Rhinolophus ferrumequinum: one gene and its partner. The protein of the gene in region 2 purifies or fractionates together with the protein of the main gene of each other region. This does not show direct contact. Links are inferred from orthologs where the notes say so. Each region holds a gene or a part of one and is shown on either strand. Other genes may lie near its edges.

The links. The genes of interacting proteins can lie anywhere in the genome.
Region 1: the proteins of RAB27B (region 2) and SYTL4 purify together in Homo sapiens (co-immunoprecipitation; 3 studies listed by BioGRID and IntAct, counting the BioPlex papers as one, with this or other methods). This does not show direct contact. The link is inferred for Rhinolophus ferrumequinum from reciprocal best matches to the Homo sapiens genes RAB27B and SYTL4.

Annotation. Positions count from the first base shown.
Region 1 is NC_046284.1:53,721,791-53,729,495, forward strand, and holds the start of SYTL4 (synaptotagmin-like protein 4), read left to right. Parts: upstream 1-4,696; 5' UTR 4,697-4,819; intron 4,820-5,184; exon of another isoform or gene 5,185-5,343; intron 5,344-7,705. UniProt on the Homo sapiens protein: Modulates exocytosis of dense-core granules and secretion of hormones in the pancreas and the pituitary. Interacts with vesicles containing negatively charged phospholipids in a Ca(2+)-independent manner.
Region 2 is NC_046302.1:44,327,841-44,335,041, reverse strand, and holds the start of RAB27B (ras-related protein Rab-27B), read right to left. Parts: upstream 3,019-7,201; 5' UTR 2,947-3,018; intron 2,815-2,946; 5' UTR 2,741-2,814; intron 1-2,740. UniProt on the Homo sapiens protein: Small GTPase which cycles between active GTP-bound and inactive GDP-bound states. In its active state, binds to a variety of effector proteins to regulate homeostasis of late endocytic pathway, including endosomal positioning, maturation and secretion.

The sequences.
Region 1 (7,705 bases), on a different chromosome or scaffold from region 2:
TGTAGTAACTGTATAAAGACACACATGGAAATGATCAAGATCAAATCTGGTATAGTGAAAACCTTGGGATGGAGGTGTATACAGAGGGCTCTGATTGTAGTGGTAATGCTTTCTTTCTTTCTGTCTTTTTTTTTTTTTGGCGTGTTTAGAAGTTTATTGAAGAGATGCGAAGATGGGTGGAATTTTAGTTTGAATGTAAATCTCTTTTTTTCCCTTGCTAAATTATATATATATATATATATATATATATATATATATATATATATATATATATATATATATAAATTTTGATTACAATTTATTGGGGTGACAATGGTTAGTAAAATTACATAGGTTTCAAGTGTACAATTCTGTAATACATCATCTATATATCACATTGTGTGTTCACCACCCAGAGTCAGTTCTCTTTCCATCACCATATATTTGACTCCATTTACCCTCTTCTACCACCCCCTCCCCCTTAACCTCTGGTAACCATTAAACTATTGTCTATGTCTGAGTTTTTGTTTCTTCATGTGTTTGATTTGCTCCTTTGTTGCTTTCAGTTTTATATCCCACATCAGCAAAGGCATATGGTTCTCGACATTTTCTGTCTGTCTCATTTCACTTAGCATAATAATCTCAAGATCCATCCATGTTGTCGCAAATGGTACTATTTCATATTTTCTTATGGCAGAATCGTACTCCATTATATATATATCACATCTTCTTTATCCATTCATCTATCAAAGGGCACTTTGGTTATTTCCATGTCTTGGCCACTGTGAATAAAGTTGCACTGAACATAGGAGCACACATATGTTTATGGATAAATGTTTTCAGAATTTTTTGGTATATACCCAGGAGAGGGATTGTTGGGTCATATGGTAATTCTATTCTTAACTTTTTGAGGAACCTCCAAACTGTCTTCCATAGCAGCTGCACCAATCTGCATAATGCTTTATTTCTTAAGCTGGGTTGTGAGCATATTCTCTTTGTCGTACTGTTGTCTATATATTTATGCATTTTCAAAATATTTAAAAAGAGCAATTGCTCAATGCTGAGGCATCCCATCACCTGGGGCTGAGGAAAAAAACAAACAATGGAGTATCTTATTAGTTTGCACTATCCAGAACTACTTCAATGTGGTAAATTGAAACAACTCATCATATCCGATCATTCACTATGGGACAGGAGTTTACATACCATACATAAGATAATAATCCATAAGTTCCTATTTACATTGTTGCACAGGATAGTGCCTGGGTTTGCTTGCATTGGAGCGCTCACAATATTTGGCATAAGAATTTGAGCACAGAATCCTTGCGACAAACAAAGAGGATCAAACAGATAATGGACAGCAGATTGCGAAGCATGGAATCTGTGTAAACAGGCCATTGACTAACTTGGTTTTGGTTCATTGCTTATGTTTGTCTCTGTGTATTTTCAGATGGTTTAGTGAAACTGTGATAGGAGTCAGATCCTCACACATCCTCTTTAATGAGGTGGACCTTGGAGAGTGAGAAACCACACATGCATAAAGAAGGAAAAACTTAAAATAATATCTGGAAATTTTGCTGTGGAATAAGAAGATTGGACTATATGTTTTCTGAAGTCCCTTCTAGCTGAGGGTATTTCCAGCTCCTGCCAAGCACCACCTGCAAAGAAGAAGCAGAGAAGTGCTTGTTCTGAGTTCCCACAGGCCAGGTTAGGGAGATGAACACATTCAAAGCCCAGAGCTGAGGCAGAGAGGCCCTGAGGATGGAGTTAGCAACGCTAGACAGAACAAAAGGGTTTCCTTTTTGAAGAGTCTTCTTTGCACTTAAGGCTGTGGGTGGTGTATTTAAGGATTCCAGAATGGCAGAAAACTCTGGGTAGAGCCTGGGAGCTGAATTTTACTGTTTTGTCTGCTAGAATTAAAATGATTTTTTCCTTCCCTATTAAAGATTTTCAAAAAAGATGTTTTATATTATCAAAGCTATACCCACTATTATAAGAAAGTTGAAAAATACAGAAAATTAGGATGAAAATGAAAAGTTCATTTAGTTATACCACCTAGAGACAGCCACTATTGATAGTTTGCATATTTCTTTCTAGCCTTTTGTTCATGCATATCCTCCGATTTCCATTAATTGTTGTGATCATATGTATATTAAATACTGTATCCTACTTTCAGTTAATATTACACATACGTATTTCTTGTCATTATGAGCTACGTGTAAATACAGTAGTCCCCTGCTACCTGCTACAGTAGTCCCCTGCTACGTGGTTTTGCTTTCCACGGTTTCAGTTACTCATGGTCAACTGTGATCTGAAAATTTTAAATGGAAAATACCAGAAATAGACAATTCGTAAGTTTTAAAGTTTGTACCATTCTGAGTAGTGTGATAAAATCTCGTGCCGTTCTGCTCCATCCCACCGGGGATGGGAATCATCCCTTTTGATCAGTGTATCCACATTGTATATGATACCTGCTCATTATTAATTTTTGGCTGTCTAGGTTATCATATCAACTGTCACAGTATTGCAGTGCAGTGTTCAAATAACACATTATACTTAATAATGGCCCCAAAGTGCAAGTGTAGTGATGCTGACAATTCAAATATACCAAAGAAAAGCCATAAAGTGCTTCCTTTAAGTGAAAAGGCTTGTATGTAAAGGGAAAAAGCATAGTATGTATAGTGTTCAGTGTGTTTTCAGGTATCCACTGGGGGTCTTGGAATGTATCCCCCATGGATAAGGGAAGACTACTTGTCAATTTTACTGGCTATATAATATTCCATCGTATAACTCTAATTTACTTAACCATTGAACCATTAGGTTTTGCCCCTAGTATTTGATTATTCTAAGTAATACTGCAGTTAACATCATTGTACAAAAAGTTTGTGTTTCTTTAGGACACATTCATTCATTCATTTATTATACAAATATTAGCGAGGGCCTACTATGTGCCAGGTACTACCATGTTTCCCTGAAAAATAAGACCTAATCTGAAAATAAGCCCTAGCATGATTTTTATGGATGCTCGTAATATAAAATAAGCCCTAATGAGTCTTTTGGAGGAAAAATTAATATAAGACCCGGTCTTATTTTCAGGGAAATATGGTAAGGCTTATATTATATTATGAACATCCTGAAAAATCGTGCTAGGGCTTATTTTCCAGTTAGGTCTTATTTTCAGGGAAACATGATACTCTAGGTGCCCACTTTCTGCCTTGGGTTTTTTATACTGATACAGGAAACAATGGAGAAGGAGCAAATTTAAGAGAAAAGATGGTGGGTTCAGCTTCAGATGTGTTGAGTTTGAAGGGCCTGCAAGACATCCAAGTGGAGATGTCAAGAGAGCAGAGCTCAGTGGAGATATCTGGATAAGCTATAAAATTACAGGTGTGGCCATACAGATGATAATTAAAGCCAAGTGAGTGAAAGAGATCACTTAGGAAGAGAGTATATGTAGCCTAGCCCTGAGAATGTCTGTCTTTCAGAAGTTAGATAGCAGAGTGGAATGTACAAAGGAACTGAGGAGAGGGCAAAAGGGTAGGAGGAAAAGCAGAAGAGTATGGTGTCATAGATGCCACAGGAAGACTTTCAAGGAGGAGGAAATGGTTAACAGCATTAAATGTAGAGAAGAGGTCAAGCAAGATAAGGACTAAAAATGTCTTATTTGTTTGTTTGTTTGTTTATTTATTTATTTATTGACACGGAGGTCATTAGCTGGGTATCTTGTTGAGCACAGTCTCAGTGGAGTGTTGAGGAAGAAAGTCAAATTGTTGAGTGAAAATTAAGGGAGTGGAGATTACAAATGTACCTCTAAAGTATATTTGGAATAAATTTGTTCATAAAGAGGAGCTGGAGAGGTATTTGGTGTGTAAAGAGGATTTTTTTTTTTAAGATGGCGGAGACTTGAGCATGTTTATTTGCTGATGACAGGTGAGAGGGACTTGAGCATTGTTAATGGGTGATGAAAAGAAGAGAGGGAGAGAGAGAGAGGGAGGAAGAGAATGGGAGAGGAACTTACAATTACTGGGTAGATATAAACATTTTAGAGTCTAATTGATATATATTACTCACATGCTTTGTCAAAGGATTTTTAACCAAAATACACTCCTTCCAGCAATTATAAGATAACTTATCTGGTGGCCACTTTGTCATCATTGTTATAAAAACAAACAAACAAAAAACTTTGCCAAGGAACCTCATTATTGTTCTAATTTACTCTTTGATTAAATAGTGAGTTGAATGTTTTACCCACTTGTGTCCATGTGTGTGAATTTAGTCTTATGCTATTTGCCCAAAACGTTTCTATTTTAGACACTTTTCTTTGCCACAAAAGGCTGAAAGTCGAAGAATCAGAATGGTATCATGTTTTATCTTACCAAAGTATATGGTCTACAGTCTTCTTCTCCCTAAAAGTACACGACCGTTTGACAACTTTTGGCTCAGCTGAGTGAAGAGGTTTGTGATTTATCATCTGAGAGAGTGACCACAGATGGAAATAAAAAGGGGGTCAGGTCTAGTCTTAGACCCTTATCCTTAATCCTCAAGCTCCCTTTCATAATCCTGGAGGGCATCCCTCCAGTGCCTTAAGGCTTTGGTTCCCAGAGCTCCTCTTGTAGTGGCACCGTCCCCTACTCAGGAGCCTGGAGCGCTGTGCGGCCCCTTTAAGAGTCCAGCTCCTCCCCGCTCCAGGGAAAGTTGCAGCTTTTTCCGCCTCCCGGGAGGGTGAGAAGGACCGGCCACTGCCGGAGTGGGGTTGCGGTCTTCCCAGAGCCATAGACCCTGCCCTGAATCCGGTGCTGGGACTTCTAGCCTCTCTCGTGGCACCTGTTGCACCTGACAGGTAGGTTCGCGGCCAGAGGCCGCCCCTTCGCCGTCGGTCGGGGACTCCTGCCTGGCCCCCAGCCCCTTGTCTCTGCCTAAGCGCCCCCACCCCCATCTCAGGGCCCTGCGTCCTTCCCTAACCCCTTCCGCCCTCCCACTCTTTCCTGTCCCCTTTCTGCCTCCCTGGATAGCCCTCCTGCCCACGCCTCGACTCCAGTCTGCTTGACTCCCCGGGGACAGTCCCTCCCCGCCAGTTTGCTTTCTCCCGAGCGCCTTCCCAGGCCCACTGATCGCTAACGAAGGCTGTGCCTCTCTGTGTTCCCTGTCACGCCTCGAGCGGCGTGGCCGGCTTTTCCCGCCTGCCGGAGCTGAGGCAATTCCGGAGAGCCGGCCCGGGGGGCAGGGGTGGGGCCGGAGCTCCTAGCGGGAACTGCGCCCTCCGAGGCGTCGAGTCACCTTTTCGCCGGTTCCTCTGGCAGTGCCCGGCCATTGCGCGTGGTATTGTCCCCGTACTCCTTACGGACCTCAGGCGGCCCGCCACAGGTAAAAAGGCTGCTGGCTGGCTGGTTGGCCCTAGTCCTGCCTCGGTGGGCTTCTTCTGCACTTGGGGCGGGGGACCCGGCTGTGTGCTCCAGAGTTGAACTGCTTTATCTTGCCACTTTTCAAGCAGGCTTTGCTCCTGGAGGAGAGTCCTCAGAGCCCTCAGAAGGGGCCCAGAACACTTCTATCTTCTGTTTTGGTTTATAAAGGGGCTTATGAACGTCTCCAGCCCTTAACGTTGAATGAAATGGTTAGTTTTGGTGGTGAAATCATTTGGTTAGAATTCTGGTGGCTTGAACAACTGATCTGTTTCTCATTAACTAACCTTTTCCTCCCCCAGTACCCTACTTCTTCAGGACCAGAGGACCTAGCGCTCCAGAATACAGCTTTTGGCAGGGTTGACCCTAGAGCTTGAACATCTGTGGCAGACATTAGTCTTCAGTACATCCTGGACCTCCTATTTTAAACTGGCTTTTCTGCTTTTTCAGCTCCCGGACACCACCCCTCATAAATCCATTAATATTAAGGTATTAATGACCTAATGTGTTTACCCACTGGTTTGTGGAGAGAATAATGTCTAATGCAAAGAGTTGAGACTCTGAGAAAGTTTTTTGTTGTGTTTTTTTTTTTTTGGTTTGTTTTTGTTTTTTGTTTTTAGCACCTGCTGGAAATCCTAGTAGAAAGGGACCACCAACTTGGCTTGTGAGACTTATCCTGGCAGGAGGCAAACATTTCTGGTAACACAATTTCAGGGGCCTCACTCTAAGTCTGAACAGTGAAATGGAGGCCTGTTCAGGGATGACTGGTCTGTGAGTGTATGTAGCATTCTGGTTGATACTCTCTGAGTTTTCCCCTTAAAGGCTGCTATTAATAATGGTTGTTAGAATCCACTGAGCCAGGCGCTGTGATAAGTTCTTGACATAATTATCTCATATAATCCTCATGATAACTCTATGAAGTAGGCGCTACAATTATAATTGTGTTATGATGAAAAGGAGACTGAGAGGTTAAGTGCCTTGCTCCAAATCACCCAACAGATGAGGGACAGAGCTGGGTCATCTTAATGCACAGCTCTGTTCCTATCCCCTGTCATACCGTCTCTGCTGCCTTGGATGTTAGGAACACTAAATAGCTCACGAGTGAGGACTAAGTGATTAAAAATTTCCCTTCCACGCCAAAGTATAAGTTTTGGTCCTTGACTCTACCCTGGATGCACTGAGGAGACTTTGGACCATTTACCTCACTGGTATCTTGCCCACTTCACCACTTCACTTCCAGCAGGGGGCCAGTTGCCACATTGCCACTCTAGGTACACACCCCTGAGTGTACCTGTCTGAATGAAACTTCCAGGGCTCTTAGCTCAGTAGTCATTGTCCTGAAGTTAAGAGAGGGTAACTGGATTCTAGGGATGTGTGACTGACTCAACTTCTTCCTTTCCTGCTTGCTAGGGGAGAAATGAGGATGTGGTATGCGATAAGGATTTCCCAACAGTCAAGCCAGAGAGCCTGAGGGGAAGTGTTTGCTTATTTTATCCTGGGATGGATGGCATATCTGAGGCAGGGACAGTCCAGGAGAAAAATGTCTTCCCTGATCCGATCACTGGGCCTTTGCTCAAACTGCTCTTTTTTTCCCCCTGAAAAGATAACTTGCCACCCATACCCACTCCCTGCCATTAATTCCTATTTATCTCAAAATTTACTCTAAAGTCACCTCCTTTGGGACAGCCTTTCTGAATACAATTCCTTCCCCTATGCAGAATTACCAGTTATCCTGTGTCCAAAAGCTCTTTGTTTATACCTCAGGAAAGCCCTTAACACCTCTCTTAGTTGTTTTTCCACCTGGAAGGTTAACCACTTTAAGGTCAAGGTCTGGATCTTGGAGCTCCCTTTGTCTTAAGCGTGAAAAATCAACAAACATTTGTGCTAAGAACCGGGGGTCCCATGCCTTCAAGGGCCTGAGGTCTGGTGATGGTGGGATTGAAGTACAAAAGATACCTTTTTTGAGGCGCTTGAAATCTGACAACTAGGAGTTTGTGTTTAAATGTCACCTCAGTGAGGCCTTCCCTAATCATCTTGTTTAAACTTGAAACCCTTCCCGGAATATTCTATGTGCCCCTTCCCTACCTTATTACTCTAATGTAACATATTGCATATTTTATTCATTTTTCTTTCTTATTGTCTGTCTCTCTCCCCCCTCCACAATGTAAGTTCCACGTGGGCAGGGCTTTCTGTCTGTTTTATTCACTAGTGGACCCCAGCACCTATAACAGGGCCTGGGACATAGGTACTTACCAACGTTTGTTCAATGAATTAATGAATGACATTACTGTTCTAGGAACTGGCACTTTTTTGGGCTCTCCTGGAAC
Region 2 (7,201 bases):
AGGGTTGCTAGATGGGAGGGCGGTGGGGATGAGTGAGAAGGTGAGAGGATTAGAAAGCACAAATTGGTAACCACAAGACTGCCATGGGGATATGAAAGACAGTTTGGGGAACATAATAGATAATGTTGTAAAGATTTTTGTAGGGTATCCGATGGACACTTGTCTTATTAGGGAGACCACTTCAGGGACGGTGTAGATGCCTGATCACTGCGCTGTACACCTGAAGCTGAAGCTGAATAGCAATGAATGTCAACTATAATTTAATATATGTATAGTCACGGGATGTGGAGTACAGCATAGGGAATAGTCAGTGGAATTGTAACAGCTATATACAACGTCAGAGGTGTAGTAGATTGGGGGAGGGGAGTTATCACTTTTTGAGGGGGGTAAATGTCTAACTATTACATTGTTTTGTACACCTGAAACTAATAAAAAAAAATGTAAAAGCTGTCTTTTCCCACCTCCTTCTTAAATGTTTTAGTAAGCACCTTATTCATGTGAAATATATTGTTCTTTCGGGGAAAAAAAAAAAACAAACTGCTGAGGGGGAAACCCATGTGACCAGACTGCCTATTTGCTGAATCTCTTTTTAAATAAAAATCTGTATGTTAACATTAATTTTTTAGAGCTGTCTACCTTACTATTATCCGTTAAATCCAGATAATAATGATATTCGCCTGGATCTCCTGGGCAGCGAGACTTTTCAAGGCGTAAGGGGATTATCCTCAGGGATTAAAATCACCAGATAGTCACTACTTTCACACTTTAACAAATTAGTTTTACGTTTTGCATTTTCGCCTCAGTTTAAGCCCCACTTGTTTGCCAGCAACCCTGGGCTACTGCTGTGCATTCTTCCCATTGTCTTTGGTCAAGTAGTTCCAGCCAGTGGACTAATTTTAGGATTTAAATTCCAGAAGTTAGTTCATATCCTGAGAATTTCAAATTCTGAATATGATCTAAGTTCTTGGGATTTGTTTCCCTGCATCATTATCGAATTCAATGAATCTCTAGGATCAACACATAATAAAGTTATTTTAAAATTCTTTATGATGAGACATGTATAATGAGTATGACATAAAACTGAAATCTAAAGCTGCAAATCATATGTTGGGCAAAAATTTTCAAAACTAAGTATTAATTTGAAGAATTGAGTCATCTTTCCAGACTTGGATTACAGAAACATTTTTTTAAAAGAAGAGAGAGGGAGAAACTTTGTTAACACAAAGTTCATGGAGTTGTAGTATGTTGTTATACCAACTAAAAAATAAATGTAGAAAAGTACTTTTGTTTTACAAAATATTGAAAGTCTATTACTACCCCCAATCTGATTTTCTACCTTCCTCCAGAAGGAAGGCTTTATCTTCAGAAAAGATTTTCCTTGCTTAAGATATATAGCAATCTTAATATATTTTTATATACTTCTATCATTTGTATTTAGAGATGCTGCAAATTAATTGTTAAACTCATTTGTGATTTTTGTTACGTATTTTAAAATATAAGTAGCATATTTACATAGTAAATATTCAATCAGAATGTTCAAAATATTACAAGTATAGAACAATAAAATAATACTAACCCTCCCTCCCTCATCTCCTGTATCCTATTTCTTCTGCAAAATAGAGTTTTAGGAGAATTATAGGTATATGTTCAAAAGTTTAATATTTAAACAATGTGAAATCTCATTTAGGATAAATCAATATATCAAATATACTGTACTTAAAATAAATTTTGAAACATTTAAAGTATTTTAAAAATTATTGTTAAAATGCTTTTTATTAAAGTCACATTTTCAATATCGATGCCTTGCTCTGAGTCTCAGTTTCACATTTTCTTTCCTGAAATAAATTAATATCTTAAACTTTCCTATAAATTGACCATAAATATGACTCAACATTTTATTCATTTTTAAATGTTTACCTATTACATTTTGTATAAAATACCTAAATTTGATCTAATTTCTAAGGTAATAATCTAACCTAACAATTTGACAAAACTTTAAAGTTTTCAAAGACATTTAATACATGAAATTGGCATCAAGGCCCTAAAAAAGCATTTTCAATTGATTTGTATGATTTTGATTGATTCAAATTGAGAATGTCTGATTTTCTCCATAGAGTCTTCTTCATTTGGGTTTTCTAATAAACTACTCCCTTATCACACATAATCAGATATATTGTTGAACAGGAAAGGAGAGCTTAGATTATTGTTTCTGAGTGTAATCTACTAATTGTAGTATTGAGTATGGCCAAGAGAAAGCAAATTAGATTTTTCTTCAATGGCTTTACACTGAGAGGTACAGAATGGTTTCACAGCTTTCTGGCAGCCCACATTTACGGTGAGAGTATTTGGAACACAGAAATAAAGAAAGCATAAAAAGATTTTTACACTGCACCACAGCACTGATTAGAAAGGACAATCTTTGAGCTTTGAAAACAGAAAACAGAAAGCAAAGAAGCAAGCCATCTGCAGCCCTGAGCAAAATCTCTTTGCCATCAAAACTCTGCTGCAAATCCAGCTTCTCCTCTTGCAAACCCACAGGCTAGAGGAGGGAACCACAGCCACTCCAAAGTAGAGTTTCAGGCCCATCATTAGTGGTTTATGTCACTGTCTTGGTGCTTTTCCTTCATGAATGAAATATGCAAATGGCATCTTACATTGGCTCTCTCAATGAGGAAGAAGAAGGTCAAGAAACACAACTAACAAAACCAGCACGTTAGAGATCTGTGACCGATGTACTTACACCTCCAAATGCCTCCAGATTTCAGCCTCTGGGGTATCTAGCCCATTTCTTTATGGCACTGTTGCTTCCATCAGCTGTGGAAATTAACATAAAATAATATAGTAACCCAACAAGTACTGGACAGCATTCCAGAGCATCAGATTAAGTGAACACTAAAGGCGCATTGACGGTGTACAAAATCTGAATGGTAAATAGCAAGTAAATACCTTCCAATCGACCGGAAGGGGGAAGGATGCTGAGCTGCTACAGCTGCTGCTTGCTCTCTTGTGTAACAGCAAAGGCGGCTCAGTCCCGCTGACAGGCTGCGAAGAGTGGCTGCCTATGGGCGTCTGGGCGGTCCTAGCGCCTGCGGCAGGTTAACGCACAAGGTAACTCCGAGAAGCCTATTTCCGGTGATATTTCTGAGGGGTGTCACCAAGTGTTTCAGGGATGCTTGTTAAGCACCAGGGTAGCGGGGTTTGAGTTTGGGAAAACTAATTAGTAAACAGGGTCTGCTAATGTTTCCAGACACTGCTGGTGAAACCAAAAAGGACTATGGATGATCTTGTCCATTAAATAAATGGTGCTTTTGAAAATGTTAAAGCCATAAGGCATTTAGAAAGAAAACTAATTCGCACGTCTACCATATTGACTAATCTGTTTATTTTTTTCCACACCCCCCCCCAACACACACACATTTAAAAAGTAAAGCGAAAAAGGAATAAAGAAGTAGGGGATTTTCAAAAGTTTGAAACATCTTTTCTTACATTTGCAAAAAGTGTTAAAGGTCTAAAAACTCCATGCTTGGCATATTTGGTTCAAAAACCTCAAAATAAATGCAAAAACAAACAAAAATAGACTTTCAGAAGCTTTTTCTCTAAAAGGCAAAATATACCAGACTCCATATAACACTTCCTTTCATCTTTATTTATTTACTTCACTTTTTTCCTTTGTAGCACCTTTTCCCACATAATATTCGCATTTCTTTTTCTTTTTTTTAAACTTTTAAAAATTTATTTTAAGTGTGTTTTTCCAGGACCCATGGCTCTAAGTCAAGTAGTTGTTTCAATCTAGTTGTGGAGGGCGCAGCTCACACTGGCCCATGCGGGGATCGATCGAACCGGCAACCCTGGTGTTATGAGCATGGCACTAACACACTGAGCTAACCAGCCGCCCCATATTTTTAAATATATTGTCTAACTCCCCCACTGCAACATAATCTCTGTGAGGGAATACACTATATTTACTTTGATAGAGTAATACTTTTATAGCCTAGAAGATTGCTCAGCACATAGTAGGTCCTCAGCAAATATTCGTGGAAAGAATAAACTGGACACTAAGCTGACAAATTACACTAAAGAAAATAAGTACAGAAATTAACTCTTAACTGATTAAATTCAATTATCAGATCTCTTTGAGCAACTGTTTTATTTAAGGGACTGTGTTAACTGCTATATATTTGCCTTTAAGGAGCTTATAATTTACATGTAAAGAAAAGATATTGTATGAAAAAAATCTGTATGTAATCAAACAAATATATGCACATCTAATATTTGCTGTAAGAGAGTGAACACTGTAAGTTAAGATGTGCTGTTTTCGCTAGGCGCTTCTATGTTTTGACATTATGGGTATGATATTGAGCTGGGGGACTGGGTTTGAGAATTCAGCAGTGGTTTCTTCCCTCCAACTCCCACCCGAATATATACAGTTTGGTTGGCAGTATGGTTCAGAAGGGACCAGAATTTAGAAAGTCAACTCTAGTAAGATTTGTTAGCAGAGTAAATACAGATACTAACACAGGTAAAGAGAGGGAGGGCAAGTAGGTGGGTACTGCAGGCCCTGGATCAAAGCCTCACATAGTCAGGGAGTCAGCAGGAAAATGGTCCAGCATCCAAGAGCGGTTGCCTTCCTGAGCAAGGAGGGGGCTGGTGGTCTGGGCTGTCAGACCGAGTAGGTGACGTATGGCAGCCAGTAGCAAGGTATTACTGGCCAATAACAAGGTATGCCAATAAAGCTGAGGCTCAGAGGTGCAGAGGCCAAGAGGGGAGAGAGAGAGTGAAGATCAAAGATTAAAGTAAGACTGTCTCCATGGAACACTCAAGGAGGGATTTTTTCATAGAAAAAGTACAGACCCAGAGGCTGAGGGTCAGCCTTGAGCCCAACAGTGAGGGGCACTGATGCCTCTTAAAATCGAAGCATCCAGAAATCAATCAGCTGGATTAATCTCAAGCCATGTGTGGGTCAAGCAGCTGTGACTGTGGTTGGGGAAGAACTGCAGAGAGAGGGAGTCATGCTGGTCACTAGAAAGTTGAACCAGAGTAATTTTGCCTCAATGAAAGAAAAATTGCTTTCTTCAGCCCACAAATTGTGATTCAATTGTCTACTGCATTTTTGTCCCCTTCTCAATCCAGCAGGTTTTCTGAAATGAGATTATGTTTTAAAAAGGAAAAGACCAGGAGCAGCGGGATGGCTCAATTGGTTAGAACGTGAGCTCTGAGCAACGTTGCGGGTTTGATTCCCACATGGGTCAGTGAGCTGCGCCCTCCAGAACTAGATTGAAGACAACGAGCTGCCACTGAGCTCTGGGTGGGTGGCTGACTAGTTCAGTTGGTTAGAGCACAGTGCTCTTAAATACAAGGTTCCCGGTTGGTTCCCACATGAGCCACTGTGAGCTGTGCCCTCCACAACTAGATTGAAACAACTACTTGACTTGGAGCTGATGGGTCCTGGGAAAAACACACTGTTCCCCAATAAAGTGCTGGAAATACACACTGTTCCCGTTCCCCAATAAAATCTTTAAAAAAATTTTTTTTAAATGTGCTTGTTTAAAAAAATGAAAAAAAGGAAAAGACCAGCAGCAAAAGGTGCAATGCAGCCTCAGAGATGAGAGTGGCTGTGACTGGCCCAAGAGGGAGGCAGTGCCCCTCTGTCAAGCATCTCTTTGTAGCTACTGATCTTTATGAATGTTAGAGAGCCTCCTGGGGAACCATCACTATGTCCACGGTTGGGTCTCAGAAATACACTGACATGTCATCTGTGGGATGATACCAAGTGGAGGGAGGAAGAGTAGGACTGCTGAGAGACATGTCACCATACAGATATAGACAGATCGATGGAATGATAGATAGATAGGTAGATAGATAATCAAAAAGACACAAACAATATAAAACTTTTGATCTAATGGATATAGACAAAAACAGATAATGAAACTTCTTCTCATACAAATATAGAACAAAGTTGTTCATGTACAAGGTCATAAAGCAAGTTGCAAAAATTTTTAAAGAATCAATATCACACAGACCATGTTCTTTGACCAGAGTGCAACTGCTTATGTCAGTGACAAAATGATAAATAAAACATTCCTACACAGTTGACAAATAAAGCCACACTTCTCAATAATTTGTGGGCAAAAGTGAAAATGAATACAGATATTTAAAAATAATTAGAAATGTACAATCACTACATATGGGAAGCTATGAAAGCATACTTAAAGATAAATTTATAGTCTTAAGTTTATATGTTAGCAAATACAAAGGCAGGAAAGTAAGAAAGGCGATAAATATTAGAGAAGAAATCAATGAAATAGAAAACAAATTTACACTAGAAAGAAATATACAACATCAAGAATCAACAAATACAAAAGCATTTGTTTTTTGGAAAAAGTTAATGAAATTAATATTTGGCTAAAGTGATTCAAGGAGAGAAGGCACAAAAACCATTTAGAAACACTTTATAAAATAGTAATCAGTTTTTGAAAAATGTATACATTATCTATCGTATAACCCAGTCATCCAAATTGTATTTGTTCAAGAAAAATGACAACTATAAAAGGCTTATATGAATTTTCATAATAGCTTTAGTTGTAATAATTGAAAATAGGAAACAACCCAAATGTCCATGAAGAGATGAATGGATAAACAAATAGTGATATGTCCATACAGTAGAATACTAGTGAGCAATAATAAGGAGTTACCTATCTATATCTGCAGCAACATAGATGAATCTGAAAATCATGATGCTGAATTTTGTAAAAAGCCAAACAAGAAAGGGTACACATTATATGATTTCATTTATAAAAACTGCTAGGGGATGCAAATTAATCTACAGTTGCAGAAATCAGAGCAGTGATTACATGGAGATAGAATAGAAGAAAAGATGGATTACAAAGGGGCAAGAGGCCTGTTGGGAATGATAGGTGATGGACATGTTCATTATTTTGATTGTGAGGATGGTTTCACAGTGTTTACATAGGTCAAAACTCACTGTGTTAGGCCCTGTCCTCAAAAAGTAGATATCACAACAGGACCAGAAGACAACACATCTAATGGGGGGAAACCTGTGAGAGAAAAGGGGAAGGAAGAGAGAGGAGGCTGGGAGAGCCATCAGACCACAGTGCAGAACTGACCCAGGTATAGGAGGCAGGAAAGTAAAGGAAGCAGGATGGAAAACAGGAAGGTCTTGGACTAGAGTGTAGTTCTAAGA